7 linked regions of the Nothobranchius furzeri genome follow. The protein of the gene in region 3 purifies or fractionates together with the protein of the main gene of each other region. This does not show direct contact. Links are inferred from orthologs where the notes say so. Each region holds a gene or a part of one and is shown on either strand. Other genes may lie near its edges.

Evidence for each region.
Region 1: the proteins of upf1 (region 3) and eif4a3 purify together in Homo sapiens (co-immunoprecipitation; 8 studies listed by BioGRID and IntAct, with this or other methods). This does not show direct contact. The link is inferred for Nothobranchius furzeri from reciprocal best matches to the Homo sapiens genes UPF1 and EIF4A3.
Region 2: the proteins of upf1 (region 3) and exosc2 purify together in Homo sapiens (affinity purification with western blotting; 3 studies listed by BioGRID and IntAct, with this or other methods). This does not show direct contact. The link is inferred for Nothobranchius furzeri from reciprocal best matches to the Homo sapiens genes UPF1 and EXOSC2.
Region 4: the proteins of upf1 (region 3) and upf3b purify together in Homo sapiens (co-immunoprecipitation; 16 studies listed by BioGRID and IntAct, with this or other methods). This does not show direct contact. The link is inferred for Nothobranchius furzeri from reciprocal best matches to the Homo sapiens genes UPF1 and UPF3B.
Region 5: the proteins of upf1 (region 3) and upf3a purify together in Homo sapiens (affinity purification with western blotting; 5 studies listed by BioGRID and IntAct, with this or other methods). This does not show direct contact. The link is inferred for Nothobranchius furzeri from reciprocal best matches to the Homo sapiens genes UPF1 and UPF3A.
Region 6: the proteins of upf1 (region 3) and smg7 purify together in Homo sapiens (affinity purification with western blotting; 7 studies listed by BioGRID and IntAct, with this or other methods). This does not show direct contact. The link is inferred for Nothobranchius furzeri from reciprocal best matches to the Homo sapiens genes UPF1 and SMG7.
Region 7: the proteins of upf1 (region 3) and casc3 purify together in Homo sapiens (co-immunoprecipitation; 5 studies listed by BioGRID and IntAct, with this or other methods). This does not show direct contact. The link is inferred for Nothobranchius furzeri from reciprocal best matches to the Homo sapiens genes UPF1 and CASC3.

The regions. Positions count from the first base shown.
Region 1 is NC_091746.1:29,292,019-29,296,141, reverse strand, and holds part of eif4a3 (eukaryotic initiation factor 4A-III), read left to right. Parts: intron 1-2,286; coding exon 2,287-2,402; intron 2,403-2,484; coding exon 2,485-2,592; intron 2,593-4,123. UniProt on the Homo sapiens protein: ATP-dependent RNA helicase. Involved in pre-mRNA splicing as component of the spliceosome. Core component of the splicing-dependent multiprotein exon junction complex (EJC) deposited at splice junctions on mRNAs.
Region 2 is NC_091746.1:53,646,455-53,651,061, forward strand, and holds the start of exosc2 (exosome complex component RRP4), read left to right. Parts: upstream 1-1,477; 5' UTR 1,478-1,698; coding exon 1,699-1,820; intron 1,821-1,893; coding exon 1,894-1,995; intron 1,996-2,108; coding exon 2,109-2,154; intron 2,155-2,243; coding exon 2,244-2,333; intron 2,334-2,417; coding exon 2,418-2,483; intron 2,484-2,571; coding exon 2,572-2,640; intron 2,641-2,804; coding exon 2,805-2,981; intron 2,982-4,607. UniProt on the Homo sapiens protein: Non-catalytic component of the RNA exosome complex which has 3'->5' exoribonuclease activity and participates in a multitude of cellular RNA processing and degradation events.
Region 3 is NC_091748.1:65,886,954-65,891,076, reverse strand, and holds part of upf1 (regulator of nonsense transcripts 1), read right to left. Parts: intron 1,382-4,123; coding exon 1,201-1,381; intron 1-1,200. UniProt on the Homo sapiens protein: RNA-dependent helicase required for nonsense-mediated decay (NMD) of aberrant mRNAs containing premature stop codons and modulates the expression level of normal mRNAs.
Region 4 is NC_091741.1:85,713,300-85,718,146, forward strand, and holds the start of upf3b (regulator of nonsense transcripts 3B), read left to right. Parts: upstream 1-1,794; 5' UTR 1,795-1,920; coding exon 1,921-2,031; intron 2,032-2,254; coding exon 2,255-2,361; intron 2,362-2,437; coding exon 2,438-2,544; intron 2,545-2,631; coding exon 2,632-2,730; intron 2,731-2,876; coding exon 2,877-2,987; intron 2,988-3,336; coding exon 3,337-3,380; intron 3,381-3,474; coding exon 3,475-3,663; intron 3,664-3,736; coding exon 3,737-3,888; intron 3,889-3,974; coding exon 3,975-4,281; intron 4,282-4,372; coding exon 4,373-4,516; 3' UTR 4,517-4,847. UniProt on the Homo sapiens protein: Involved in nonsense-mediated decay (NMD) of mRNAs containing premature stop codons by associating with the nuclear exon junction complex (EJC) and serving as link between the EJC core and NMD machinery.
Region 5 is NC_091754.1:29,406,776-29,409,985, forward strand, and holds the end of upf3a (regulator of nonsense transcripts 3A), read left to right. Parts: intron 1-48; coding exon 49-104; intron 105-191; coding exon 192-350; intron 351-462; coding exon 463-596; intron 597-982; coding exon 983-1,289; intron 1,290-1,811; coding exon 1,812-2,000; 3' UTR 2,001-2,178; downstream 2,179-3,210. UniProt on the Homo sapiens protein: Involved in nonsense-mediated decay (NMD) of mRNAs containing premature stop codons by associating with the nuclear exon junction complex (EJC) and serving as link between the EJC core and NMD machinery.
Region 6 is NC_091751.1:34,600,183-34,604,305, reverse strand, and holds part of smg7 (nonsense-mediated mRNA decay factor SMG7), read left to right. Parts: intron 1-427; coding exon 428-599; intron 600-678; coding exon 679-750; intron 751-835; coding exon 836-986; intron 987-1,066; coding exon 1,067-1,202; intron 1,203-2,140; coding exon 2,141-2,303; intron 2,304-4,123. UniProt on the Homo sapiens protein: Plays a role in nonsense-mediated mRNA decay. Recruits UPF1 to cytoplasmic mRNA decay bodies.
Region 7 is NC_091746.1:33,209,096-33,213,918, forward strand, and holds the start of casc3 (protein CASC3), read right to left. Parts: upstream 3,187-4,823; 5' UTR 3,144-3,186; coding exon 2,961-3,143; intron 1,615-2,960; coding exon 1,590-1,614; intron 1,503-1,589; coding exon 1,447-1,502; intron 1,270-1,446; coding exon 1,060-1,269; intron 1-1,059. UniProt on the Homo sapiens protein: Required for pre-mRNA splicing as component of the spliceosome. Core component of the splicing-dependent multiprotein exon junction complex (EJC) deposited at splice junctions on mRNAs.

The sequences.
Region 1 (4,123 bases), on a different chromosome or scaffold from region 3:
CACAGCAACACCTGAGTCTCATCTGTGTTGGCTTAAGTAGGCTGGTGCTTCCACAATCAATCGACCAATCAAATGAGGCCAAGCCTCCTCTCAGGTATGCAGAAAGAAAATGAAAACAACACAAATGGCTCCTACACGTTGATTGTGAAAGACAACCAAACACTCACTGTGTGCAAAATAAATTAAATAAGTCAATAAATCTCTTCAAATGTAAAACAAAATCAAAACATTAAAAAAAACTGTGTTGGGGTTCTTCGGGTCCTTTCTTAGTCTAGTAGCGGCAGCAGCTGGCCACACAGGTGCCAGATTATTATTTTTTATCGGCTTTTAAAAATAATTTTGACCAGTGGCCGATATAGAAAAACTGTTATTTATCTGCCCGACTGTGATCCGTGCCTTTGGTACCTGCAGGCTGGATTATCACAACTCGCTATATGCGGGGCTTAGGCAAGCGCCAATAGCACGCCTCCAGGCGGCTCAGAACTCGGCTGCTCGGTTGTTAACATCTACCAGGAGGTCTGAACATATTACACCAGTCCCACGTGCCTTGCATCGGCTCCCTGTCTCCTATCGCATCAGGTTTAATGTCTTCCTGTTTGTGTTTAAGGCGTTAAACTCAGGGGCACCTAAACACCTTTGTGACGTCATCCACCGACATGTCCCGGTGCGTTCCCCTAGGTCAGCTGACCAGAGACTATTAACCGTGCCCAGGTACAGCCTGAAGTCTCGTGGGAGTCGTGCCTTTTCAGCGCTCGGACCAAGTCTGTGGAACGAGCTGCCAGCCGACGTAAAGCAGGCCAAATCACTGGAGACCTTTAAAAGCCGACTACAAACGCATCTGTTCTCGTTGGCGTTTGGTAGGGCTGGGGGTAAACGATTATTTTTAAAACGATTATTCTGACGATTATTTTATCGAATAGTCGACTATTCTAATGACTATTTAGAAAATTAATCTAATGATTATTTTTCTATTGCACAATTAACAAAAACCAGAAAATCTCAAATAAATTCCTCAAAAAAATTGATAAATTGTTACTGTAAGAGAATAAACACTACAGGCCTTCCATTTTGTATAACACTGCTTTTATTGTGTTGGTTGGTTATGTTCTGGTGACGTGTAGAACTTGGGAGTGCAGGCTGCTGCCTGAGAGGTGGTAGAAGATGGAGTGTCTCCATGCTGCTTTGTTTTGGTCACTTATGTGCGTGAGGCGAGTGGTCTTACGGGTTAAACCAAACTCAGGTGATATTTTACACTAAACCGAAAACCCACAACACTCTAAATGTAATAAAAGGGAGATCTACGCCACAAAAAGATGAACTCTAAACCAAAACGTAACGGCTTATCCAAACGCAAGAAGCTGTTAGCGAAAATGTTAACAGTAGCTTTACCAACGTTAAGTTCAAGTTACCAAGTTTAAACAAACCAAAAACACCCAGCAGCAAACAGACCAGCACGGAGGAGAGACTGCTACCACCAAAACAGCTCTCCTCATGTCTGAAAGAAGCTCCTTAATGAAGGGAGAAACGCTCCCGGTGATGTCCTACATCTGCGGTAGAGACCGAGCAGCACATCTGACCCCGGAAGTTGTCCGATGCCGGGAGACGAAGGCGGGCAAAACAGGAAAGGAATCTAGTAGTGGACGGACATTGTTCCGGGTCTTCGGTATTTGGCGGAGATGTTAGTGAAGGCGGAGAAGAGGGCGAACTAGAGGAAAAACAGACAGATTCCTCCTCTATTTACAAACTCCTGGGGATGCAACAAGTGGGCGCGGTGCGTCGACTTCCGGATCTGACGTCGACAAATTTTTAGAATCGAGCCGTCAACGTCATCTAGGCTTCGCTACAGCCCTAGCGTTTGGACACTGAAGTTGGGATTGGGTGGGCAGCATCACTTTGAATGTGTCTGGATCTGATTCTGGGAAAGGACTGATATGGATTGCGAACTTGTACTCGGGATTTCTTATTGTATTTTAAATGGTTATATGTCTGTTTTATTGTTGTGATTCTTATTGGTGTACAGCGCTTTGTTTGTCCGTTTTGGGCGTGTGAAAGCGCTTTATAAATAAAGTTGATTTGATTTGATATACCAGTCGGCCTCTGGTTTAAACAACTTTTCCTGCACAGTTGAAGCTGTTTTTTCCTGTTGATGATTAAAGTCTGCAGCGCCGCTCTCTCTTCGTGCTGCCGGTGCGCGCGGCGGCCAGACCCGAGGATCAGCTGATCTGAGCCCTGCTGAACCAAAGGCAGAGAAATAGTTTAACCTCCAACCTGTGGGTGTGGTTTCAGGTGGACTGGCTGACAGAAAAGATGAGGGAGGCCAACTTCACTGTGTCCTCCATGCACGGAGACATGCCGCAGAAAGAACGAGAGTCCATCATGAAGGAGTTCAGATCTGGAGCAAGGTATTAGATTCTCAGCGGACATGGTGGACACGCACTCAAAACCACAGCATCACATACGTTCTACCAAATCTCTCTCCTACAGTCGTGTCCTCATCTCCACCGATGTCTGGGCTCGAGGTCTGGATGTCCCACAGGTGTCCCTCATCATCAACTATGATCTGCCCAACAACAGAGAACTCTACATCCACAGGTATGAGACGCTAATGTGGGAGGAGCTTATCAAGGCTGGTATTGTTAACGTAGACTAAAAGGTAAAACATTTTGATGAACTGAATTGAAAATATAAAGGAGATTTTACAAAAAAAGCAAACTAACTGAAACTAACGAGCATTCACACAACTAAAGAAAAAATGTGTATTAAAATAGCGGAAAGGAGACGCCCCCTAGAGGACAGCAGGGCTGTGGCAGTGACCTGTCTATGATGCCATCAACAGGAGGGGACCCTTTAGGAAGATGCCACTTAAATTAGGGGTGCACAATATATCCGCATCAATAGGTGTCAGTCCGATAAACAAAACTGGGCCGATATTAACAACCGATATAATTTCCATCTTGTTTCCATCCATTTATCTGAGGGTGAGGGTGGTGGTGTATAAATTCAGTTCAGGTAACCCATGTGCAGCAAAGCAGTGAGGTACGGGGTGCACCGCCCTGCAGGGCCCTATAGACATGGAGCAGGACCTTAAGTTTAGCCAGGTACACAACCGAGAACCAGTGAAGCAAATCCAACACGGGAGCGATATGATCCCTCTTCCTTGTACCTGTCAAGAACCAGAGTGTCCAGTTCTGGGCCACCTGGAGCCGTGCCACCGCACCCAGGCTCAGACCAGCATCTGGTAGAAGCATCAAATTTTAAGTTCGTGACTACCTTCCTATCGTGTGAGGACAGAGAAGCAAGGTCAACCTGAAGGCTCTATTGGTGGTCAGAATCATTACCTCCGTTCTGTTCATATTCAAATGCAAATAACTGTAGGCCATCCATAACTTAACTTCCTCCTAAGAGTCTAGAGTGGAGAGACGGAGCCACCTGTCCCCAGACAGAGAGGTGGGTAGATCTGGAACCATCGCATTATGCTGACAGGGAGCCCCTCACTGGCAGCAAATAGACTGCAAAAAGAGGGGGCCCAGCATGGAGCCCTGTGGAACCCATCATCAGAGTCTCTCCCAGGCAGAGGTGGTCTTCCCTATCCAGACACCACTTAACGTCAAAGTAGGACTGCAGCCATTGAAGGGCCGGGTTAGGGTTAGTTGTTACCGGTCCAAAAATATGTTGGGACTGTGTCAAAAGCTGACGTTCTAGTAAAAGTACGACGACGGCATCGCACACATCTAGCTGAAAGACTGTAACGCAAAACCGTTAAAGGGGCGGTCTTGGTGCTGTGTCAGATGGAGCGAGTCTTGCGTGTTCCTTCTTCTCCTAAGATCCACAATCATCTTTGTTCTGTTAACATCTAAGATCAGATGCCTCACCCTTCCACAGATTCACCCACATCGTCTCTGTCCTCTGTCTCTTGTCCATGTCTGAGACACTCTGAATGACAGGACCAGGACATAGAATAGAATCGACCTAATTAATCCCACAGTGGGAGAATTCACTTGGAGAAAAGGAAGAAGAAGTAAATGATAGCAAAAGTACAGGTGAATACACGAAGGCAGTCCGCTGTTACTGTAACGTTCAGTCTCACACTCTGAGGTGCGTCAGTCAGGGTGTCAGTAATCCA
Region 2 (4,607 bases), on a different chromosome or scaffold from region 3:
ATTTTGGACAAGCAGAATATTTTTAACTATATTCTGTGGACTTCCTGAGAGTAATGTATTACAGTAATCCAGTCTTGATGTAATAAATGCATGAACTAGTTTTTCAGCATCACTCCTGGAAAGGATGCTTCTAATCTAAGCAATATTCTGAAGGTGGAAATAGGAAATCCTTCTTCTTTTAAAATATCTTTATTAATATAAAGTTTTATTTCTAAAGTCATTTTTTTCATAATAAACCAAATGATCATTGAGCCATTTTAATTTAATTCATTCAGTTTTTATTACATAACTTCTTTTTAATAGTGTTTTTTCCCATGGCTGATTTATTTCATAATGAGACTTTACAGCAGAATGTCTCAGTCCGTCAGTCAAACCAGTGGGTGTGACCTGCCATTTTAAAAGAAGAATGAAAAATATTTCATAATATTGAACTTAGATTTTACATAACATTCTGTTATTTCATCATTTCATTGTCAGATTACATGATTGTCTAGTATTTCTTCATGTAGACATTTATTTCATAATGTCTTATTTATTTATTGAATTTTGAATACTTTTGAGTTCCATAAAACAAAGCTATTTGCAGAGATAAGTCTGGGTTGGGGTGTTTGAAAAAATTAATTTGAGAGCAAAACAATAAAAAAGATTCTGACCTAGCCTAGAATCTAGACCGTCAATTGCTGAAGCAAAAATAATCTTGCATTATACTATATATATGTATTTTTAAGAGTCCACAATAAACTTATAGGGATGGCATTGGGATTATAGATATTTTAAGAACTCATCAAAACATTAATTACAGTTGAAAAAATACTGGATTGAGCTGAGAATGTATTAATTTAAATGGCATACATCTGTAAACATGAAAAGAAAAAAATTGATGTTTGGCTGTATTGTTGAGCTAACTTAAGAAAGCTCTAGAAAGGAAACAACCCCCAGGAGTCTGCATCCAAGTGTGAAATCCTCCTCATCACTGTTGTCTGACCTATGCATGCTCCAGGGGATGAATCAAAGTAAAGGCTGGGTGCAATCTGATGGTTTTCTAGGCTATATATTTTTGTACAAACTTTCATGAAAACAAATTTGAATTTATTTAAAAAGTCCAACCCTAATTATCCTGTTTTTGTATATTTTTCTGGAATATGTTTTTACCTTGCCTAATAAAATCACAAATTCTGCAAAGTAAACAAAAACTGAGGGAAGTGAAATTGATAAAGAAGAAATAAAAGCCCTGAATTAACAATTAAAGCGGGCTTATAAGATTCCACCAGTAAAACTGTGATGAATCTTATGATCACAGAAGTGGAATGATTTAGCTATTATTGAGTTGTTTGTTAATCTGAACCTGGCTGAGTCAGTAGTACTGCATTGATCTTTATTTGGCGGAAAGAGAGCAGTAACAAAACATCAATTTCTGTCGCTTTTACTCCGTACCAGTAGGGGGCGTTAGCTGGTCTCACAAACTACGTAACAGAGCAGAAGTAGGAGAGTGTGCTACCTAGCATCACAGACATGCATGGTCTGTTATAGTTATATTGTTGTCCATTTTTGTAGCTTGTTGAGCCAGTTGGTTTTTAAACGACTGTTAACTTTGGGGAGGAAACCCTTTCTTAAATTTTCTTCACTATTCTAAGTGTGCACATAGAAGTAAAGCCCTGTGGACTCTGTCGCGAGCGGGAAAAGTAAGAAGAAACAAGCATGGCAGTGGACATGAGATTACCGACTGTTAAAAAAACAATGACTTTGTCGGCTCCCGCTGTATACCGGAAAGATTTGGTAGTTCCCGGCGATGTTATCACCTCAGACACAGGTTTCATGAGGTGGGTACTGGTTCTACTGTGAAGCCTGGGAGTAAAGGCCTGGTAACCATTACTTTACCTCGTTTTCTCACAGGGGTCATGGAACATATGTCGACGATGATAAACTAACGGCTTCAGTTGCAGGAAAGGTGCAAAGAGTTGACAAACTAATCTGCGTCAGACCTCTAAAGACCAGGTACGCCATTAATTTAAGAGCCATGAAACATCATTTACCTCTGCACTGCTTTCACTTGCTATGTGTCCTGCTTTTATCTAAATGCAGTCCTATAACTCTGATGTGAATTACAGATTTAACGGTGAGGTTGGAGATGTGGTTGTTGGCAGGATCACGGAGGTGAACAAATGTTTTTGTGATCTAAAAACAGTAAAAAGATGTAGTACTTTCATCAAGAGTTTTCAGAATGGGGATGTTTTCAAATTCAGGTTCAACAGAAGCGGTGGAAGGTGGATACCAACTCCAGACTAGATTCGGTCCTCTTATTGTCATCTGTCAATCTGCCTGGAGGAGAACTGGTGAGATAGTAGAACGTAGCTTCATATGTTTTGGTTGAGATTTTTGTTTTTACTTTTGCTAAACTGATTGATTTTGCCTTTTAGAGACGAAGATCTGCAGAAGACGAGCTCACCATGAGAAAATACATCCAGGAAGGCGATCTAATCAGTGTAAGACACATTTGATTCAAAATGACCAACTTTTACTACCAGTTTTTTTTTATTCCTGACTGGGTTTGAACTTTTGTTTGTTTTTTAGGCAGAAGTGCAGTCTGTTTTTTCAGATGGAGCACTCTCACTTCACACTCGTAGTTTAAAATATGGAAAAGTAAGTTATAGCACACAGTGACACTGAGTAATCCCACTAATTTTTACACTAACACGTTCCTAATTATAAAAAGCTTCTTTTGTGGGAAAATAATCTGTAGTAATAATAATAATAATAATAATAATTTTAATCTCAATCTTATTTCAATTCTTTTTGACTGTCAGTTGGGTCAAGGAGTGCTGGTCCAGATTTCTCCTTCTCTGATCAAGAGGCAGAAAACACATTTCCACAATCTTCCATGTGGTGCATCTATAATCCTTGGTAATAATGGCTTTGTGTGGTTGTATCCCACGCTGGGACAACAGGATGAGGAAGCTGGGGGCTTCTACACCAGTTTGGAGGTACATTCAGAACCAGTCAAGAGAAGTTGTTCATAAACTTTATTGACTTGATTTTGATAGATGTGTGTGAGCGTTAAAGTGTGAGTAAAGCAGTTCAACATAATAAGTGATTTGTTTGAGAAACCTTGCTGGGTCTATTAAAGGTCAGTTTTGTGAGACATGATCTAGTATTTTAAGACATCATAAATGATAAACTACATGAATTTACCTAAAGGCACAAAGTATTTTTATGTCAAGAGAAGGAAAAGCTTCCTAAGGAATGAAAATTTGACCCTCTGACCTGACTTCTCACCTCTGTTTGTGAAGAAATACTTATTAAACATAATCTATTTAACACATCCAGACATGTAATGCTCTAAGAATTCCTCCTGGAGGAACGGGGCAGCCTTAGAGAGAAAAGCAACTTGAGACTGTTAAAGTATTGGGTATTGACCCTTTGCACGTGACCTCACGCCACTCATGTGACCGCCCCCTTCGCCATGACGGACGGCAAAAATACCATTTACACCTGTAGAATCCCCAGTGAAGCTGGTCAAAACAAGCCAGTTTGTAGCCTTTTATCGCTTTTATTTAGTTGATTTGACAGTAAAATGGTTTTAGCCTGCTGCATGGTCGGCTGCACTAAGAGACAAGGACATAAACTCAACTCGTTTTTTCTTTTTAATAAATTTGATGGGAGACTGAGGACGGAGACAAACTGCAGTGATCAATTAAGCGAAGTAGCCCTCAGATTTGCAGCGAACATGTTTTTACCGGGTAAGATTAATGTTCATTTATTTCACGAGGAAGACAGGGACAGGGATAAAGGTGATGTGTTCATACAAGTTATTGATAATCCTGATGGATGGGTATTTCACCCCGGATGACGCGCGCCGTCCACTGTTGTATAAAGCGAGACAATTATTAACAATATTAAAGCTCCGATGTATGATTACATGTGTTAAAATTACGTTATTTATTTATTTATATGAGCTTCAGCGTTCAGAGATCTCATTCCGATGTGAGAGCAGCAGCTGAACCCGGTAACACCACCAGCAACAGGAGCTGGTAGAGATCCAGACTTTTTAAAAATCTGCTTTGGTGTGAAGTGAAACGCTGTTTACAACATAAAGTTATAAATCCAGAGGGGTGGATTTAGGCAAAGTCAGCAACATGTTTACATCGGTGAACAGCTGCAGAGAGAACGTAAGCTAACGTTGGTAAGCTAGTTAACATACCGCTCTCTATGAGCCCCCGCTAGATGCGCTACTTCTGATAATGGAACTGGGCAAGAACTAGTTGAAGGAATGCTGGAAGAGTTTAATTTTTGTTTTGATGGCAAAAACTATTTCAGGCTCTAATTTTCCCTTTGTTTAGTACTCGTGTCGCTCGCTGTTTACATGCTTTTGCCGTCCACCATGGACCCACGTGATTAGGTGACGTCAGTGCAAAGGGTCAATATGATTGGTCAATTTATAGGGCTGGGGGTAAACGATTATTTTTAAAACGATTATTCTGACGATTATTTTATCGAATAGTCGACTATTCTAATGACTATTTAGAAAATTAATCTAATGATTATTTTTCTATTGCACAATTAACAAAAACCAGAAAATCTCAAATAAATTCCTCAAAAAATTGATAAAT
Region 3 (4,123 bases):
ACAATATTGACGACACGGGCAACATAAAATTCACTTATGAGTTAGAAACAGAAGGCAGCATAGCATTTATGGACATGAAAATCACCAGGCAGACCGACGGGACCCTAAACATAAACACATACAGGAAACCAACACACACAGACCAATATTTATTATGGACATCAGAACACCCCACCATACACAAAATGTCAGTAATCAGAACATTATATCACCGAGCAAACATGATAACAGAAGAGAGAGACCGTAAACAAGAGGACAAACACATACAACACGCTTTAAAGACCTGCAGATACCCGACATGGGCAATAAACAAAGGAAAACAACAAACAAAAACAGAAAGCAAAGAACAACCCAAAAAAAGAACCAGAAACCCAGAAAGACAAGAACCAAAACCAGTGATAACCCTACCATACATCAAAGGCATAACAGAAAAAATAAGAGCAACAATGAAAAAACACAACATAAACACACCAACAAAGCCATACACAACAGTTAGAAACAGATTAGTACACCCAAAAGACAAAATATCAGCTGGACAAAAATGTGGAGTCATCTACGAAATCCCATGCAAAATATGCAATAAAACATACATAGGAGAAACCGGACGCCAACTCAATACACGGACAATAGAACATAGAAAGGAGTGCGAGAAAGAGGCAAATCGTAAACACACAAGAGCAGCAAAAGAAGAAGCAGAAAGTACAATAAAAAAGTCAGCCGTAACAGATCATTGCTTAAGAGAAAACCATATAATGGACTGGGACAACACACGGATCATAACCACCGAACAACAAAAATACAAAAGATGGATCAAGGAAGCAATAGAGATAAGGAGACGTGGATGTGGGACCATGAACAGGGACGACGGAGTTTACACACTGGACCACGCATGGGACTGCATCGTCGGAGAGGGGAGAGCGGGCAGTAGAGGGCGACAACGTCCTCTGCTGCCCGCAGATAAACGGAGAAGGAAGTGACGCGCCACCATCAGCGTCAGCCTGAAGAAGCCGGCAGCTGTCGGCGAAACCGTAGCTACAAACAGGTAAACAAAACTGTTTCTGTGTTTAAAAAAGAACGAAAGCATGGATTTACAAAGACACAGCAAGAACACACCTAAGATGTTCAGATAAGAGAACTCGTAGCTCTTACAGCCTTCTAACCTGTGCTGGCTAATTACTTTTCTACAACGGCCTGACATACCTTCCACAGTTCCTCCAACTTGTTGATCTGCTGGGCCGTGATCTGACGAGCTCGGAGTTGCTCTTGCTCTGATGGGATCTTTACCAGCCAGGACAAAAAGCAGCGGTCCTGGATGAGAGGCTGCCACTGTGAGCTGTCCCAGTTGATGTCCTTCAGGCTGCTCTGACTAGCACAGGGCTGTCTGTGTGGACAGAAACGGGTTTTTACATGTCGATGGTTGCACACAATCGATAGACCCGTGCATCACCTGATCCAGAGCCCAGAATCTCATATCTTCAGCTCAGAAAGCGCAGATATGATTACGCACAAGCGTGACCCGTCAATCCGGTCTCACAGTAAGACCGGGTTGGAACTGTTCAGGTTTACACAGACAATCTTTACATTTAGAATTGACTTATAGGTGTAAAATGAATTCAGTAAAATATAAAGCATTTTATTTAAATATCCATTCATTATTTTACAAGCACAGAGAGCTACATCAGATGGATGCAAGAGCCGCGGGTTGCCGACCCTTGACTGCAACGCAGCAGTAGAGCCCTGCGCGGGACTGTTTTCTTCATCCCGCTTCTGCCCGCTCCCGCTGAATTTCTGACAATTACCGCCCGCAACCGCAACGTGTGTGTTACACTCCCGCCCGCACCTGCACCGTACATGTCTACTCCCGCCCGCAACCGCAAAACTCGGAGAAATTATTACCTCACAACAAAAGAGATGTATTGAGTTTGCGTCCTCTCTGGTCCTGGAGAAAACATGTCATTTTATAGGCTATACCAGGGGTCGGCAACCCGCAGCTCTTCCATCCATCTGATGCGGCTCTCTGTGCTTGTAAAATAATGAATGGATATTTAAATAAAATGCTTTATATTTTACTGAATTAATTTTACATCTGTAAGTCAATTCTAAATATAAAGATTGTCTGCATAAACCTGAACAGGCCCAACCCGGTCTTACTGTGAGACCGGATTGACGGGTCACGCTTGTGCGTAATCATATCGGCGCTTTCTGAGCTGAAGATATGAGATTCTGGGCTTCTCCTCAGACGGCTCCTGGATGCGTCGCCACATTGGAGACAGGAACAAGCACTATTCAGCCAAAGTTTCATAACCAGGGAACATTTTCTAAGTGACAAGTCTCTCTGAGAGACAGGGTTTGGAAAACACTCGCTTCAGTGGGAGGAACCTTCCTGCATGCGCTCTCGTTCTGTGACGCGCTCCAAGTCAATCTCCACAACTTCAGCTCGCTGTGCACATATGCGCTGACAGCGAGCTGCGCTGAGCAGTGTCCAGCTCAGATGGGAACCTTTTAGCTACATCTGCAATGTGCATAACGAATAAAATGTCAGTTCGTCTACAATGCGTCGGGGTAATTCTTTCTATTCTTTCTCCGTCAAAATAAACGGTCAAATACGGGAACTGTCCGGTCAACACAACACAAGCCCTGCTTTTAACTGTTCTGTTTTCTTGTGAAAATTGTTGGAAAGATAAAATTTAACTTGATTACCACCAGAGCCAGTGCGCCGTCATCTCCGTGACGGTAAATGAGGGAAAACCAAATTGATCGGATCCTGCACGTCTTTTAACACATTGGTCAGGATTGACGCACTTTGTTTTCATTTAGTTGGTTAAAAAAAAGTCGGGCTCGGGTCGGGCCAGAGAATCCTGAAAACCTTTTCGGACCGGGTCGGGCAGGGGCTCCACCCCCTCGGGCCGGACACAGGTTCAGATTTTAGGCCCGTGCAGGGCTCTACTCTGGATGCAGTGGAGAGAAATAAAGGAACCAGCAAAGACAGAACCGGTCCATGTTTGGGATCAAAAGTACAGCTACACGCAAATTGGCTAATGCTAAAGCTAACAGGTAGCAGTCTCACGATCAAGTGGCCCACAGAAAAATATTTGATGATCATAAAACTAAGACTAAACTCTACAAGCGGATGAAAAGTCCCCACCATCCTGTTTATTCTGCATCCTGCAGCGCTATGGATCAGAACCGCTGCAGATATGAGACACATTACTGCTACAAGTCTGCTCCACACACAGGAGCAGGAAGTACGGCAAGCCGTTGTAGTATACAATTCACAAACGCTTCTATCTTTGAACATAATTAAAACTGGATTATTGCCAACCCGTACATAATAGACATGCCACCATTACATTGTTAGCAGCAGAAATTAAATGTTATTACCATTTCCAATACAAATGCATGTTAATGAAATGCATAATATTTTACTGGATATATTTGTGTTTTTATAATAAGATGAGTGTTATTAACACAAACCTAAAATGTTACTGAAATGTAGATCAAATATTTAAAAATATTTTTAACTATAAATATCAGACGGGGAAAAGGGAACTAAACACCAATCTAATGCATATTATTGAGCCTTTCATAATAAAAGTCTGTTATTTCAGCCTGATAATTTTGTTGTTTTATTTCATATTTTTTAGCAGCAAACCAGTTTTGTTTCACTTGAAACATTGTCAAATGGAATATTCAATTAATCAATAGAAGCTTAGATAAGAACACTTAATGAAAAAATATTTTGCCTTTAAAAAAGTGAGGCAGTTGAATGCACAGAGTATGCATGTGCTGGCACATGGTCAGGATGGTACCAGCTCTGCCTCAATTTGAGCCAGGAAAAGCCCTGTTTCTTCTTATATTTTTCCAAGTTAGTTGTTCAACCTTCTGACGGTCACTCTCATACAGACGAGTTTTGGTGAATGCAGTTATGTCTGTTGCTCTGAGTGTCTTTTTATTTCTGCAGGGAGTAATGAAAACTCAGCTCACTTTGCCCAGAGTTTGTTCTTTCAAATTTGCTGGATTGATGCATTTTAACGAGCTACTACCCCCGCAGGTTTACATCCTTCTCACAGATGGACTAAAAGTTCAGTAGAAATGTTTGTGTACACTTTTGCTACTGCATGCA
Region 4 (4,847 bases), on a different chromosome or scaffold from region 3:
GAGTTTAAGTATCTCGGGGTCTTGTTCACGAGTGAGGGTAGGAGGGATCGGGAGATCGACAGGCGGATTGGTTCGGCGTCTGCAGTGATGCGGACGCTGAGCCGATCTGTCGTGGGGAAGAGGGAGCTGAGCCAGAAAGCCAGGCTCTCGATTTACCGGTCGATCTACGTCCCAATCCTCACCTATGGTCATGAGCTTTGGGTAATGACCGAAAGAACGAGATTGCGGATACAAGCGGCCGAAATGAGTTTCCTCCGTAGGGTGGCCGGGCTCAGCCTTAGAGATAGGGTGAGGAGCTCGGACATTCGGGAGGGACTCGGAGTAGAACCGCTGCTCCTCCGGATCGAAAGGAGCCAGTTGAGGTGGTTTGGGCATCTGGTCAGGATGCCTCCTGGACGCCTCCCCGGGGAGGTGTTTCGGGCATGTCCTGCCGGTAGAAGGCCCCCGAGTCGACCCAGGACACGTTGGAGAGGTTACATCTCCAATCTGGTCCGGGAACGCCTTGGGGTCCTGCCGGAGGAGCTGGTGGACAAGGCCGGGGAGAGGACGGCCTGGAGCTCCCTAGTTGGGATGCTGCCCCCGCGACCCGGACCCGGATAAGCGGAGGAAGACGACGACGACAACTTTCAATGCTCTACATGGTCAAGCTCCGCCCTATATTACTGAACTGTTAAAGCCTTATGCTCCAATCCGAGCCCTCAGGTCCACTCACCAGAACGTTCCAGATGTTCCAAAGACCAGATATAAAAGTCGAGGGGATAGCTCCTTCCAGACTGTTGCACCCCGACTCTGGAATGATCTTCCTTTATCTTTATGTAGCATTGACAGTTTAGACACTTTTAAAAAAACAGCTAAAGACCCTTTTATTTAAAGCTACTTTTACCTAAATCTTTTATTTTCTTATTTTTAACTCAAAATTAGAAATCATCTTTCATCTGTTTTATGGTATTTTATCATTTAATGACTTAACTTTTCTGTTTTAATCTTTTTTTAAGATCATTATGATTTTATGACTTTATGATTTGTTTTGTTTTGATCTATGTGAAGCACTGTGGTTTTCTGTCTTTGATGAGTGCTATATAAATAAATTTACTTACTTACTTTACTAGATGATGGATGGATGGATGGATGGATGGATGGATGGATGGATGGATGGATGGATGGATGGATGGATGGATGGATGGATGGATGGATGGATGGATGGATGGATGGATGGATGGATGGATGGATGGATGGATGGATGGATGGATAGATAGATAGATAGATAGATAGATAGATAGATAGATAGATAGATAGATAGATAGATAGATAGATAGATAGATAGATAGATAGATAGATAGATAGATAGAGTAACTTTATAAACAGATAAAGATACAATTTGGTAATACTATTAAAAGATAAATAAAATAAAAGTATCATCCATCCACTCTCTATACCTGTTAGTCCATGCAGGGTCGTGGGATAAACGTATCACAAAATACATTAATCAAATACATAAAAGTAACGAACAAGGAAAATTTGAAACACAAATAGGGAAACAATGCAATGTTTCCAATAAAAAGATGTCTAGTGTCACTAAGTGGACAGTAGACATATCTCAATCTTAACTTTACATCAGACTTAACCCTAGCTCTACAAAAAAATTTACTATAGAAAAATATTTTAGAATGGACATTAACAAAAATATAATTACCAGTAATTACCGAAAATAGTAATTACCAAAAACATTTTTTTTTAAATGTGTAATTGCTTTGTATTTAGCGCCACCTCCTGGTAAAAACTTGTAAATGCAGCTTCAGTAGTCAGAAAGGAAGTTTCGAGCGGTTAGTATCTAGCTGCTAGCTGGCTAACTCTCTGAAAAGTAAACAAGTCTGTTGAGTGAGATGAGAGCAGGCTGTGGATCTCTGTAGACGTTCAGCTATGAAAGAAGACAAAGAAAACACTCGACCGAAGGAGAAAAAAGTGGAGCTAAAGTGTGAAGATGGAGAAAAGACTGAGAAGTCAAAAGAAAAGAAAGAGGCCATGACAAAGGTAAAACTTGCTAGCTAAAGCAGCTAATGTTGCTACAGACGTCAGTTTTGGATTCGTGTAGTTCTATTAAATAAAAGCATGGTTTAACTTTTTTGTTTTGTTTTTGTTTTCAGATAAAATGTTCTACGATTGAAATTATACATTTAAAGACTGGACCAAAATTTCATTTTACAAAGCCCTGCTTAGTAATTAAGGTAGTGAACTTTTTACAATGTGTTCGTAGATTGTAATCAGACGATTACCACCAAGTCTGTCTAAAGAGGAGTTAGAGGAGCAGCTGCAGCCTCTCCCAGAGGTGGACTACATGGAGTTTTTCTCAAACGACACCAGGTGAGTTCACCTGTAAAATGACTGTTAGCATTTCCTTCATTGTGTTGGTCTAACATGGCACTTCCGGTCATTTTAGCCTGTATCCCCATCTCTTCGCGAGGGCTTACATCAGTTTCAAAAATGAAGATGATATTGTTCTCTTCAGAGATCGATTCGATGGATATGTGTTCATAGACAACAGAGGTATCAAGAACACACACCCAGTTTTCTGTGAAGTGTTCCAGAGCGTTGACCTGAGACTGTCCTTGTTTATGTTTGGCCATTCAACAGGACAGGAGTATCCAGCCATTGTGGAGTTTGCGCCGTTTCAAAAGATAGCCAAGAAAAGAAGTAAGAAGAAGGACTCGAAGTGTGGAACAATTACTGAAGGCAAGGGTTTAAACTGTCTGGTGGTTTTGATCTTCTCTGTTATAAAAAGAAATAAGCTTGAAGAAACTCCATGTTCGTCCCTAACATATCTATTTTGAGATCTATCTATAAAAATCTATAGCTCAGCATGTTTGTGTTTTTATCAGATCCTGATTATAAAAAATTTCTTGAATATTACAACGGAGACGAAGAGAAGCTGACATCTACGCCTGAGACCTTGTTGGAGGAGATCGAGGCCAGATCAAAAGAACTTGAAGGTTTGTTTATGACAGCACCGTTATCACTTGCTGTGTTTGTCTTCAAATTCCATTTTTGGTTCTTTTTTTAAACACAGATAAGGTTTTTCTTTACCTTGCTGACGTTTCGTTTACGGCTGCAAACATCTTCAGAGCTGCCGCTGATGTGGATGTGTAGGAAGTGACGCCACCATCAGCGTCAGCTCTGAAGATGTTTGCAGCCGTAAACGAAACGTCAGCAAGGTAAAGAAAAACCTTATCTGTGTTTAAAAAAGAACCAAAAATGGGACTGTTATAACTGCTTGTATGTAAACAGGAGCATTGCATTTGACAAGATTTCTTATTGTGGGTTTCTTCCCCTTTCTTTTAGCTAAAAAGACCACGCCCTTGTTGGACTACCTGAAGAATAAACAGGTAAGCATGTGGTAATCGTTTTTTGGTGTTTAGGATAAATTGGTTCAACTGCATGTTAGCAAGAATCCATCAAACTTTCTATTTTAACTTTCAGAGAATCAGGGAGGAAAAGAGAGAGGAGAGACGAAGGAGGGAGCTTGAACGCAAGCGCCTGCGTGACGAAGAGCGTCGCAAGTGGAGGGAGGAGGAGAGGAGAAAACGGAAAGAGGCTGAGAAGATGAAAAGACTTGAGAAACTGCCGGAGAAAGACAAGGACCACGTTAAGGAAGAACCAAAAATTAAGGTTCGTGCAGTGAAAAAAAAAAATGCATCTGTCAATTTCAAGTTTCTCATGATGATTGTGTCTTTATATTCAGCTCCTGAAGAAACCAGATAGAAATGATGAAGCAGAGTCTGAAAAGCCTAAAGAGAAGTCCAAGAAACCAGAGAAGCCACATAAAGAGGTCCGGTCATTCAGTGATCTGAAGAGGAGACATAACATCGAGAACAAGGAGGATCGTGAAAGAAAGTCAGTTCTTGTTCTTTTTTTCCTGGCATTTTGCACTTTTGTTTGTACATTTAACTGATTTAACTCCAGCTGTGATTTCCTTTTAGAAGAGATGAAAGTGGGAGAAAGGAATTCAGGGAGCGGGACTTTGATCGAGACAGAGAGCGGGAGGAGCGGCGGCAGAGGGAAAAGGAGCGCTTCAGACGGCAGGACGAGGAAAGACGGAGGAGGAGGGAGCAGCATGATGGAGAGAACACGTTCAGGAAGCGGGAAGAGGAGATTAAAAAAGAAAAGGCGTTGGAGAAGAAGAGGAATGAAAACATGGCAGATTCCCCTCGCGGTGAGAAAACGGAGAAGGCTGCCAAAGAGAACAAAAAGGATGAGAGCAGCAAAAGGGAGCGACTGCGGAATAAGGTACGGACTCCAGTTATTTCTCACACTTGTGCCAAATAATTTCTGAGTTTGTTTTCCTTTTGTAATATTTTATTTATATTATTTGCAACAGGACCGACCCGCCATTCAGCTTTACCAGCCAGGGGCCCGGAGCCGCCACCGTGCCACACCAGGAGCAGACAGAAGAGAATCCAACTCTGCCGACAGAAAACCAGATACTGAGAGCAAGAACGTGGCTGAGAAAGTAGACGACTGAGCAGACCTCTGCTTTTGTTCATTTGAGTTAGGTGAAGAGACAGGCCTGCGAGCAGCAGTATGGCGTCTCGGAGCCACGCGCTCCACTGATTAAGCAGGGCTCCCAGTTTCGGAGGCAGAGGTGTGATCCTCTTTGGTCTGTGTTAGGAGAAGAAACGATTCACCTTCTGAAGGAGTTTGGCTGTAGGGCACATTCAAGGAAGCCAAAGTTTTGGGGACCATGTGATGTCAAAGTGAACTTAATTCAGCATTATCGCTTTGGAGGAAAAGTGTTTTACACTCTGCAAAAAAGGTGCCTTCACGCTCGTTATCTAAATCACTCTAAAATAAAT
Region 5 (3,210 bases), on a different chromosome or scaffold from region 3:
CCAAAAGATAAATCACATCATTGCTTCTTTTTCTTGGTTTGCTTTCAGCCAAAAGGACAACACCTCTGCTGGAATACATCAAAAATAAGAAAATTGAAAAACAGGTAAGAAATAAAACAGTTGGAGGAAAATTCAATTAAATGTAAACCATGAAAAATAAACTCATTTTTGATGTTTCACACATTTAACAGAGAATCAGAGAGGAGAAGAGAGAGGAAAGGAGAAGGAGGGAACTCGAAAAGAAAAGGCAGCGAGAGGAAGAAAAGCGAAAGCGGCGAGAGGAAGAGAGGCGCAAGCGAAAAGAGGCAGAGAAGCAGAAGAAACTGTCAGAAAAGGACATCAAAATTAAGGTATCACTTCTCCTTTTCAGTGCTGTTAATGTGGTTATCATGTGTGAATGGTGCAGCTGCACACAAATAGAACGTAATTTTCCTTTTTTTTTTTTTGGGGTGGGATATTTAGCTCCTGAAGAAAAGCGACAGAGATGATGATATTGATTCAGACAGAACGAAGGAGAAAAGTGATACTGGTGATGGAGACAGGGGTAATTGGGAGAAATCTGTGGGACAAATGAAGTCAAAAGATCCCAAAGAGAAGTAAGACCTGCTAAATGATTCAATGTACATGCATTGAAAACATGTAGAAATTTCTGCCATTGTTTTCTTTTTTATTATATCAACAAAATAATCCAAATGTAAATGTTCTAATTAGTTTATTTCTAGGTTGTTGACATTTAAAAGTATATGGAATGTAAATTTTTAGCAATGTTCTTCATCCAAAAGACACTTTTGTTGGAAAATTAAATATTTCTTTATTGCCTGCAGTTAAAATTATTTAACAGTGAAATTCATTTTGACATTTAAGGGAAAAAAATGTAAACGTTTTTTTTAAGTAGCCGGAAATTTCATTATTGTGGTTGTACCTTTATGAAAAACAATTCATTATCTTCAGTAGTGCATGCTCTACTTTATGTAACCACTAGAGGTCAGCCTGAAAGCGACAAGGAGCAGAGAGAGCAGCAGCAACACGGGCGCAGGCAGCGAGACAAAGACCACAGAGGAAAAGATGAAGAAAGAAAACGACAACGACACCACTATGAGTTTGATAAGTTCATGCGCCGGAAAGATGAGACCAAGTGGGGGAAAGGCTACTGCCAGGACCGGGCCAAGAAAGAGGGCCATCACCACGGTTACTCCTACTGTCCTGACAGTGGAGAAAAAATGGGAAAGGAGGACAGGGAGGAGCTGAGTAACAGGAAGGAACGCCTCCGAAACAAGGTGAGCGAGAAGGTGAGCATGAGATTAAAAGGAAGCTGGTCACTGATGTATCCCATGATGCAGACATGTAACTATGCTTCGGAAGGTTTATTTATTTATTTTTTTACTACAAACAAAATATGTCAGTCACTTAGTGTTGTGACATACACAACCTCCACCCACACACTCACACTTTCACTGAATGGTGTGGTGGAGATGATGATGGGCTGTTTAAACAAGAAAAACAAAATGTTAAAAGTATATTTATTCATAACTGAAATCCTATTATACCATCACTCTCACCTGTGTGTTCTTAACATAATCTTTGTACATTTTTTCATAGTTTTTTTCTTCTATTACTAATTTATAATAGAATTTGTTGTGTGGCACATGTGTTTTTAGGTCACTAAAAATGTGTAAAAATACACATTGTAACTTTTAACAGCTGTGTGTCTTTAAGTATGTAGTCAAACATCTGGATTTCAATCCCAAGTGGAGCCTTTAGATCTAAACTATGCCCTTTGTTTCATCTCTGCCCTCTTCTCTTCCTTGCAGGACCGTCCAGCCATGCAGCTGTATCAGCCGGGAGCACGCAACAGGAAACGTATGAGCTCAGCCAGTAAAGGCTATGACTGCATCCCTGTGGGCCACTCACCCGAATGCAGGACGGATCGTTGTTATGATGTTGTTACCATGACAACTGGACTAGAGAGGGGCTTTGAAAAAAGCAAAGATGAGCTGTGAGTATTCTGGGTAAAATGAGGAAATACATGTATAAAGTAAAATAAACAGTTTGTCAGGTTATCTGGTTTGACTGGGTTAACTGGCTTATTGGTTCTGTTTCAAAAAAGGAACTGAAAGAAGATATTTTTAAAATAGTAATTAGAGCATTCGCTGCCTGATTGCCAGCATCAGTCTAATTGTCAACCCTTGATAGGATTGTATCCTCTGCATGGGAACATCATTCTTGATTTTATAGATTTTTAATGAAACAAACAATAAAGTTGGAGGAAGTTGCAGACCGATGACGTGGTTAATAAGAGTAAAATATGTTTTTATTACTGTGTACAGGTGAGAAGATGACTATGAATTAATTTAGAAAAACAAAGTTTCTGTCTAAATATTTTACTAGTGCTGTGGTTTAGTCAGCCAGCTTTATACATGATCAACAATGAATCTGTAAGGAAAACGCATAATTATAATGAAAAGTTTGCATTTTTGTTCTGTTACTCAAAACTAGTTATCACAAATGTTTCACTGCAGTTGTTGTCCACATAGGTTTTACAATTAGCTTTAGGGGTAGCTACGTTTTATAGCATTGTGTAAAAAATAGTTTTACGAGCTTAATAATAACTTTGCACGTCTCATTTGTAAGTTTCTTTATAAGAAATACATGATGTCAAACAATTCTGCGGTGTTTCCGTCATTGAGGATGTTCTCTGGGTGTGACAACAGACACCGTATGGTTGTGAGTTAATCACAGTTGGAGGTGATTCAACACAAGAAGGTTAGTGAAGGTGTGGCTCTTATATGAGTAAATAGAAAAAGGGTGTTGGCCTAAATCAGATGAACATCTGATCTGATTTTTGATTTCTGTAAATGAGAAACTGTACTTTGTGACTGTTGGCCCACAGATTCAGTCAGAAGAAGACTAAAGACAAAGGGACGGACTTTGTTGCATTTTCACCAGAGAAAACAGAACTATAACAATCAACAGGAAGCTGACAAAAGAGCACACTTAGTGTGTGAATCTTGTGAACTAGATGAAAGCTCGCATTTTCACTTCACTCTGATTACTTTCTAAAGCTTTATCCTAAAATGTAGAACAATTTCTTTGTGAAATAGTGAATAAAACTGATTCCTCAATTATGTCTGGTGCATTCTTTAACATACCACCTGTTACTTACTTTAGTCATATGTCTTGTAGAATTTTATTGTTAGACAACTTGCTCAA
Region 6 (4,123 bases), on a different chromosome or scaffold from region 3:
TCCTGGCCAAGTTCCCCGTCCCAGGAACTACCCTGGAGTTTGCCATGTGGTGGTTCTGGTCCAGTTGAGCTGAGAGTCAACCAGCAGCATGGTCATGTGATGGCTGTACTGTAGGTGAAGGTCTGATGTTTCACCTGATGCTGAAGCATTTCACAGGAACAGGATGCCCAGAGAATTTCACAATAAAAGCTAAAAGAGAGGAGAACGGCGCCAGGCCCAGAGGCAGAAGCCGTTTCAGAACCATCTGATCCAGTTTAGTCCCGATTGGACTAAAACCTTGTTCAGTTTGTTTCTTGATGATAAAAAAAAACTTTTCTGCGCTTTGAGTGTTTTCAGAGCAGGCCTTATGGGTTCTGACGAGTTCTGGTGTGTATTCTGTCCTCTGTTGGACCTGCTGTAGTCCTGATGGATCTCTGTGGTCTTCTAGTTGCTCCAGGAGCTCTGCACCGTCTTCAGCGTGGACCTTCCCTGTCGGGTCAAGTCGTCTCAGCTCGGCATCATCAGCAACAAGCAGAGCGGTGGCGGCACCATCATCACACCTCAGCCCAGTTCCTGTTCCTACATCTGTCAGCACTGCCTGGTCCATCTGGGAGACATCGGTGAGGAACCACTCAGGAGCAGGTCTAACAGAACATCTGTAGAAACGTTCCGGTTCTTATCCCTGTTCTCCTTTTTCAGCCCGTTATCGGAACCAGACCAGCCAGGCGGAGTCGTACTACCGACACGCAGCTCAGCTGGTCCCATCAAACGGTGAGCTGGTGTGGTGAAATGGACCTGATGCTGCAGCAGCCATGTTTGTAGTTTCCTGCTGGTGATGTTCTGTGTTTCTCTGCAGGTCAGCCCTACAACCAGCTGGCCATCCTGGCCTCCTCTAAGGGAGACCACCTCACCACCATCTTCTACTACTGCCGCAGCATCGCAGTCAAGTTCCCCTTCCCAGCAGCCTCCACCAACCTGCAGAAGGCCCTATCCAAGGCTCTGGACAGGTAATGTCCCACCACCATCAGGCTGCTCCTCTGCAGCTCCAGAGAAGTTCTAACAGCCCGGTTCCTCTGTGTGTCTGCAGCCGTGATGAGGTGAAGACCAAGTGGAGCGTGTCTGACTTCATCAGGGCCTTCATCAAGTTCCACGGCCACGTCTACCTGAGCAAGGGTCTGGACAAGCTGGACGTCCTGAGGGACAAGCTGGAGGAGCAGTTTCAGGTACCAGAACGGTTCTTGTGATGTGGGGTTGGGGCTGCACGATCATGGCAGAAAAGATAATCAGCATTATTCTGACTTTATGCTGTTTCTTCATGGAAACTGAGTTTTCTATTTAAATTTATTTTTCAGTGCTGAAGGTTACGGCAGTAGCCGAATGCCCTTTGACCTGTATTATTCACGTCCGCTGTTTCTCTAAGTGTTGCCTTAACCCCCCTCAACAAAGGTCTGTTCTATTCTAAAAGAGCCAACACACCTGCTCACAGTTTATACCCTACAGACCTCACCTGCTATAAAAGAGCTATGAAGGGCAAACACCTGCAATATAATAATAAACACCTATGTTGTTGTGAACTCAACAACCTGCTGCATAATAGTGATGTAGTCCTGTCAGCAGAGCCGTAGGTGTGTGTGTCCCTCAGAGATGAACTGTTATTGTTTATCAGCCTGAGAACCTGGGGGGGTGGCGTGAAGACAGGTGCGAGCCCCACGTGAGAATTGGCAGCCCTGATGGAATAAACATCTACTTCAGATCCGGATCGCTATGTCTTCAATGGCTTTAGCTTGTAAAGCAAGCAAGTGAGCTCCACGGAGAAAGGTTTACGGTCAGTCAGTCGATGTATCCTGATGTTTTACTAACCTTCACGAATTATTGCCGTCGGACTTCTACAGAAAGATGCTAGGAGTCATCAGATGTGTTGCTCTCCATTAGGGTAAAGGTTCAAGAGGGGGTCTGAAGCGTTGTTAGATTTAGCGATAGAGATGGTAACGTCGTGTGTGAGGTGCGTTAGATTTGTTACTTGGAGCAGCACAGGAGGGAGGAGCAAATAATTGGCATGTTTTGTTTTTATAATTGTTGGAAACCCAGATGGTAAATGTGATTAAACTTTGATGACTACGTGGAGCTGCTTCAGACAGAACGTTGTCTTCTTTTTGTCCAGCGGCTGATTTTGCAGAAGGCCTTCAGCTCCCAGCAGCTGGTCCACATCACCGTCATCAACCTGTTTGAACTCCACCACCTGCGAGACCTGACGGGGGACGGCCGCGAGCAGACCTACAGCAGCGAGCAGCAGATCATTTGGTTCCAGCTGCTGGGCCTCTTCGGTAAGAACCGGGTCGTAGCTCTGGGTTCGGGCCGGCAGAACCAGCATACGCTGTGTAACCGTTTCACTTGCATTCAGCTGCCTCTGAAACCAGACAACTTCTACGCAGCTCGACCTCATGAGCCACGGATCTGTGCTAGCAACACGTCAGACCTTCAAGTCCAAAAACCCGGAATATCCATAAACTGCTGAGCTGTTATTGATGTCTTTTGTCCTTGAGGCTTGCCATAGATGTAGGAGGACATTCGGGTTTATGGGGGTTGGAGGATAAAGTAACCTGATGTTTTAGGAGCCATTTTATTTGACATAAACTCAGCAAACACTTTCTAGACAATCCGTGTCATTGTGTGCAGAAAAAATGTAGAAGTAAAACGATGACGTGTGAGCAAACATGTTTGATCTTAGTGCGACCGCCCTGTGCTTGTTACCCCACGCACACTACACACGACTCGCCCCGACCTCGAGAAAAAAATCGTCTCAAAATCGAGATCGCTAGAAATGATCAGGCATTATTTACGTTTTCTTTTTGTGAGTTTATTACCAACATCAGTTAATACAGATGACCAACGGACCAAACATTTATAGTTTCATGTGTAATAAATGTAGGATTACAGTTTAAGTAATGACCATAGACATAAGATCCATATCGAGTATGAATCCCATCTAATGGACACTGGGTTATTTAAACCAGAAGATTGGATCTTTTTATTGCAGGGATTAGATAACCGTTACGTATTCACTCAGAGACAACAGAACAGAGAGAGTCAAGTTTAAAAGTTAAGAATTTTATTACTAACAAATTAAACTAGACTGACTTTAAAACTAAGTGTATAGTAGGGCTGCAACAACGAATCGATGAATTCGATGAAAATCGATTACTAAAAGCGTTGGCAACGAATTGCGTCATCGATTCGTTGTGTCGCACAACTCTTCCAAAAGCGCCCCCCCCCTTCCCGCCCGCCGTTGCGCGCAGACCAGAGCAAGTCAGATCAGCGCGAGGGAGAGCCGCAGATCAGCGCGAGGGAGAGCCGGTACCGGCAGATCAGCGCGAGGGAGAGCCTGCAGACTTGCGCTGCTGCGAACCGGTTCCGCATTGTTGCACAGCGATCCAGGCAGCTGCTTCCAGCGCACGGTCCATTCTCAAAGTGGCGCAACCAAAAAACTATAATTAGCACACGATCGTTCTTGTCTGCACATGTTCTCTATTTTCTGTCTTATTTGTGCCTGAAGCGCTCTGCTACTGCGGAGCTCATCACCTGTGCTGTGGTGATTTCACCTCACGCAGCATCGAAAACGCGCTCTCCGCTTTGCGGTCAGGAGATCCCTTTGATCTGCTCAAAAGTAACTGATGAGGTGAAAAAGTAAGAATCCAGGCAACAGATTTTCTGGAGAATTATGAGGAGATGCAGGAAGATGAGAGACAGACAGGACAGGAAAATAGTTAAATAAAAACAAGAAAACAAAGTAAAATGTAGGTATTTATCTCCACTACACGTTTTTACCAGTAAAAAACAATAAGTTATACACATGTCATAGTTATACATCTGATACAATTCAGATCACCTTCAAAACTCAGTCACACACCCAGGGCCGTTTCAAGACATTTTGGGGGCCAAGGCAAAATGTCCCCCCCCCCCATAACTGGGCTCCCCAGAAGCCTCTGTGTAATTCATACCTTCTCCAGTAGTGTTAGTTATATGGTGTTTATAAAAGCCCCTCAGACATTACTGACATGTTCTAATATTATCAGATGAAAAACTAAATTATCAGACATGCTGTCTCATCTGCTTCTTTTCTAAACTTGCAAAAAGTAACAAAACT
Region 7 (4,823 bases), on a different chromosome or scaffold from region 3:
GACTAAGCATCATGCTCCACCCCCCTCCCTGACTGTGTCCACTGACACGAATGGCGCAATGAAACTAGAGCCCTCCATCAGCTGATACTGGTGAGAAACAGCAGCGGAACATGTGCAACCACCCCACCCCTGCTCTCACGGAGGAGCACTAATAAAACCACTTTGACTGTATTCATTTTTTTAGTTAGCCGTTGTCTCCTGGTAACACTTAGCGTAATGCCGTCTAAAGTGGATTTTCTGAGTCCTGCTAGATGGACACAGTATCAGACAGATTCCTGTATCGGGCCATCTATAATTCTGTAGATTCCAGTTCTTTAGAGAAAAGATGGAATTGGCCAAGTTTAACTCATTCACTGCCATTTGCATTTTTTTACTGTGTGGGCATAGGAACGAGTCCCCACACCGCGAGAACAAACATCTCAGCTCTAAAGCCAATCTTCATCTGCATACGGCACACATCAAGTGACCAGGAAGCAGAAAATCCATGTGTTAGGAGGTCCTTTTGGGCCACTGCTGTAAAACAAATAAATAAATAAATAAAAAATAAAAAAAGTGTGGCGCGAACCAGAAAAGCTTCTGCAGATCACAATTCAATAACGGATTATGAAAGAACAGATAAAGCTCGAAACGCACGGATTCTTCCTGCTGTAAGAGGTATCATCATCCTAGTGCGCAATGCTCTGTGACTCTTAAAAAAACAGTAAAAATGGCACACAAAAAAAAAACCGCTGGCAGGGAAGGGCTTTATCGGTCAGGAAACAGCTGGCAGCGAATGAGTTAATATCAGCTGCTCAAAGCTGTACAAATATCAGAAATATGTATAATTACACAAAATTTACATAGGTCCATTTTTTTATTTATTGTGCAGAAATTTATCAGAATTTAACCAAATGATAACCACCTCTTAAAACTTCCCATTATGTCAAATGAAGCTCAGACTAGCTCTGGAACAGAGCAGCTGAGCCAAATGAACATGGACAAAAAGACAACAAAGAGCTAAAAAGCTGTTTATGCATCAGAACCTGCTGACCAGATCCATCTGGATTTCCTGAGTCTCACCTGTCCATCACCACTCTGCCTCTCTCCTGTGAGGTTTTCCTTGTCCTCCCCCTTGGGCTCCTCCTTACTGTGTCCTTCTGCTTCCTCCTCAGCCTTCTCTTCCTCTTCCACCTCCTCCGGTTTTGGGTCGACAGCAACTGAAGGTTTGGGCTCACTGGTTGCTGCTGGAGCTTCCTCTTCACTGTAACCCTCCTCTTCCTCCTCTACCCCCTGGAAAAAGAATTTTTCAGAAACATCTCTTCTTCAGTTTGGTCTTTGAATTGGCATCCTTAGGTTGTTGTGCCAGATCTTTGACCAATCTGAACGTCTTTTCAATCCTACAGTCAAAAACAGACTCAGTTCTTGTCTGAGGGAAGGAAACTGGGAGTTGTGTTAGGCTGGATTTACCTCTGAATGGGAGCGGTTTTCCTCCGGATCAGCACTGTCATAATCTGAGAGGACAGCTGAACAAAACAGAGCCAGAGTCATAAAATCAGGAATCACCAACAACAAATCTAACGTGGAGCTGGATAACCAGGAGAGGCTCTTACCTTCTCCGGCTCCATCTTCACTCTCCTGCAATGACAAACAGGATCAAAATGACAACGTGAAGAATCTGGCTGCCTTTAGGTGTCAGGATAGACTCTTTCCTGGTGAAGGGGATGCTAGGTTCCTCATAATTTTACAGTGACATATGTGATGTCTGACTTGTAATCATTTTAATTATGAATTTTAACAAGCTAATAAATCTTAAATTACCTGACAGTTGAAAGAAACTCAAATCATTTTTAATTAACTCCAAGTACAACATACAAGTTATTCAGGGCTTACTGCAAAGCAGATTAGAACATAGCTTTTAAAGCCCCGTTCACTTGCATTCTTTTTTTATTTGTTCCAGGGACCCATGGACCAAACGAACAAGTAGGAGACTTTGGCTCCTTATTACTGTTGGCTCAAATACAAACACAGATGACAATAATGGAAAATATTTTTTAATCAGGACACTAGTTCATTTAACAAAGAGCGAGAAGTGTTCTCGTTAGCACGTTTTACTTGATGGTAAAAATCTTCTTTAGTTGAGACCTGGGTATCAAAACATGTTTATCCCCAATACATTTTGAAGTGATAATGTCCTCACGAACAATTATTTAGAAATCAACCCCTAAATAATTCATTTGACACATTTTATCTTAATGTAACCAAGTGTAATGCAGATGAACAAGTAAGGCCTGTAGCTAAAGGGTGGTACCCCAATGACATAAAATGTAGTGGACACTGAGGCCTTGAGACATGTCAAGCCCTCAGTCCCCTGATGGGTGAGGGTCAATGACTGCCTGGGTGAAGCTACTCAGTCATGGGAATCCAGCCTCGCGCATCTTCTGAATCAGAGTATTCTGATTTGTGATTACGAGATTTTATCTATGTCGTAACGCCCCTTAGTGCAACTGGGGCTAATCTGTGATTAATCAGAACTAACAGGGTCTTTAGATGTAATGGAACCACCACGGGTCTGAAGTCCAGCGTGGAGCCGCAGACTCAGGCGAATATCAGGGTGACTTTTAGCTCTTGGTTCGGCAGAAGAATCCACTTGGACCTCAGGTAACCATCCTCTATTCTCCAGTAACGGTTCTGAGAGACTGTTGGGACTGAGCCGGTGTTATGTCACATTTTGTTCCCGAGTAAATGTGGTTCAACTGCCACCTTTTCGTCTCAGATCATCGAACTACGAATGAACGACAAAACCCATCTCCTTACTGATGAACTAGTTAATCACCCACAGTCACGTCGAACCTAATGGTACCTCTAGAGAGCCTTAAGGTTTTTCTGGAAGCGGAATAAGTCAGAACTTTTAGCCCGAATTCCAAGCTTTGTGATGGACGGACCAACGTTAGCTGCTGGAGTTAGCCTGAGTAGCTACTCACACACTCGGACTCCACGTCGCTCTTCGCCTCGGTCCGGCTCTCTGTCACCTCCACTGGTTCGGGATCTCGACCTCGAGCCTTTGTCACGGGAGAACCCGACCTTCCGCTGTCCGAACCAGAACCGGACTCGTCGTCCTCGCTGTCCTGAGACGCGCGCCTCCTCCTTCGCCGCCGGTCCGCCATCTTAGGACTGGAATGGTTAGTAACGGAAAAAGCAACGCATTATGGGTAATGGTGTTCTTTTGGAGAGCAAATTCTCCCAGCTCTTTGATGTCTACTGCCGCCCTCTGGAAATGATTAGTACAACAACGATGTAATAACTATTTTAATTTGAACGTGTACGTGAATAAACTAAAGCAATTTTTACACATATTAGCCGTTACAAAAAAGTATGAATAATCTGGAACACCTGCACGTTAAATCAACAATGTAACCTACAAAAAACTGCTGGGAATCAAATTGTTGCCCTCATTTTCTAAGAAGATGCCAACTAGAGAACGTCCAAAGATCGGAAGTAAGTTGAAAAACTGAAATAGTGGCGTGTGTGTGTGTGTGTGTGTGTGGGGGGGGGGGGGGGGGGGGGGTCGTCTTTATGGTAAGTATGCTAAAAATATGTATAAAACTACAGGCTAGAAGGGGCTCTTTTATGCAATGTCAGGAATGCAGAACTGTCAATTAACATGTGCTCTGAAGTCACGTGGCTCTGATGCTCATTAATTATTCAGAATTTTAAGCATTAAATTACACTTTAAACAGAAGAGTGACAAAAAATCACCCCCTCAGAGTTGTCATGAATGTAAACTAGATCTATTAAACCTAAAGTGATTTTTTTAACCAGGCTGTAAACATGTTTTTTTTTTCTGCTGTGAAAATGGCATTTTTAACATGGGAGTCAATGAGGATTTGCTCACTTCTGGTAGAAGCCCCTTGGCCTGGCCTGCCAGACTCTTCCTCTGTTTAATTATGCACAGAGAGAGGGTGAAGAAAAGGCCAGGGGTCTCATTTATCAAACGTTGCGTAGAATCCTTACTAAAACCGTAAGCTCAGCAAAAAAAAAATGTACTTACGCCAAGTAGGTTTATGATCTATCAAACATGGAGTACGCACAGCTACACGCAATCTCCGCTTCATAAATTGGAGAATAATGAGAATGTTTCTCAGCTGCATTTTAGTCACATCCCGCCCTCACCACGCCCACTTACTGCCATAAATAGTCAATGCAAAGTGCCTTGTGAATCTTATGCATATACATAAGCCAGCTGTTGCAGCATTTCGATCACGACTGCAGATCAAGGAAGCGCTCTTTCACAAGCAGAAATTCAGGTACCTGTGGGTGAGGTGGAGAAATGAAAGGAAGTGCTTTTGTAAAACAAGAGAAAATTCACTCAGTGGCACAGCGTTGCTGAAGCCGTCAATGCTGAGTTCTTCAGAGAGATCTGTGGCGGATATTAAAAAAATGATCCGATCAGGATTCAATCCCCAGACTCCCGGATGAAAGTCATGCGTGCTAACCAGTCAGCCAAACAGAGATCTTCCTTGTACAAGTAGCCAGGGCGCATGATCAATCGGGTCACAGTGACAGGACACTTACATTGTCACTTACGCATGACATTCTGTATCAATCTGTCACCTTGCTAATTTTCTGCATTCCGTATTTTGCGCATCAGACTGTGTGTGTGCGCGCCAGGTGCACGCGCATGTGTGTGGGAGGTCTTGTTCCGTGTGAAAACGAAGCAGTACAAGGGATAATGCTCCAAGGCAGCTGTGGCTACATTGTAGCTCATCCCCACCAGCATGTAAATGTGTGTGTAAATGTGTGTGTGAATGAGTGTGTGAATTGGGGCATGACTGATTATGTTGTGA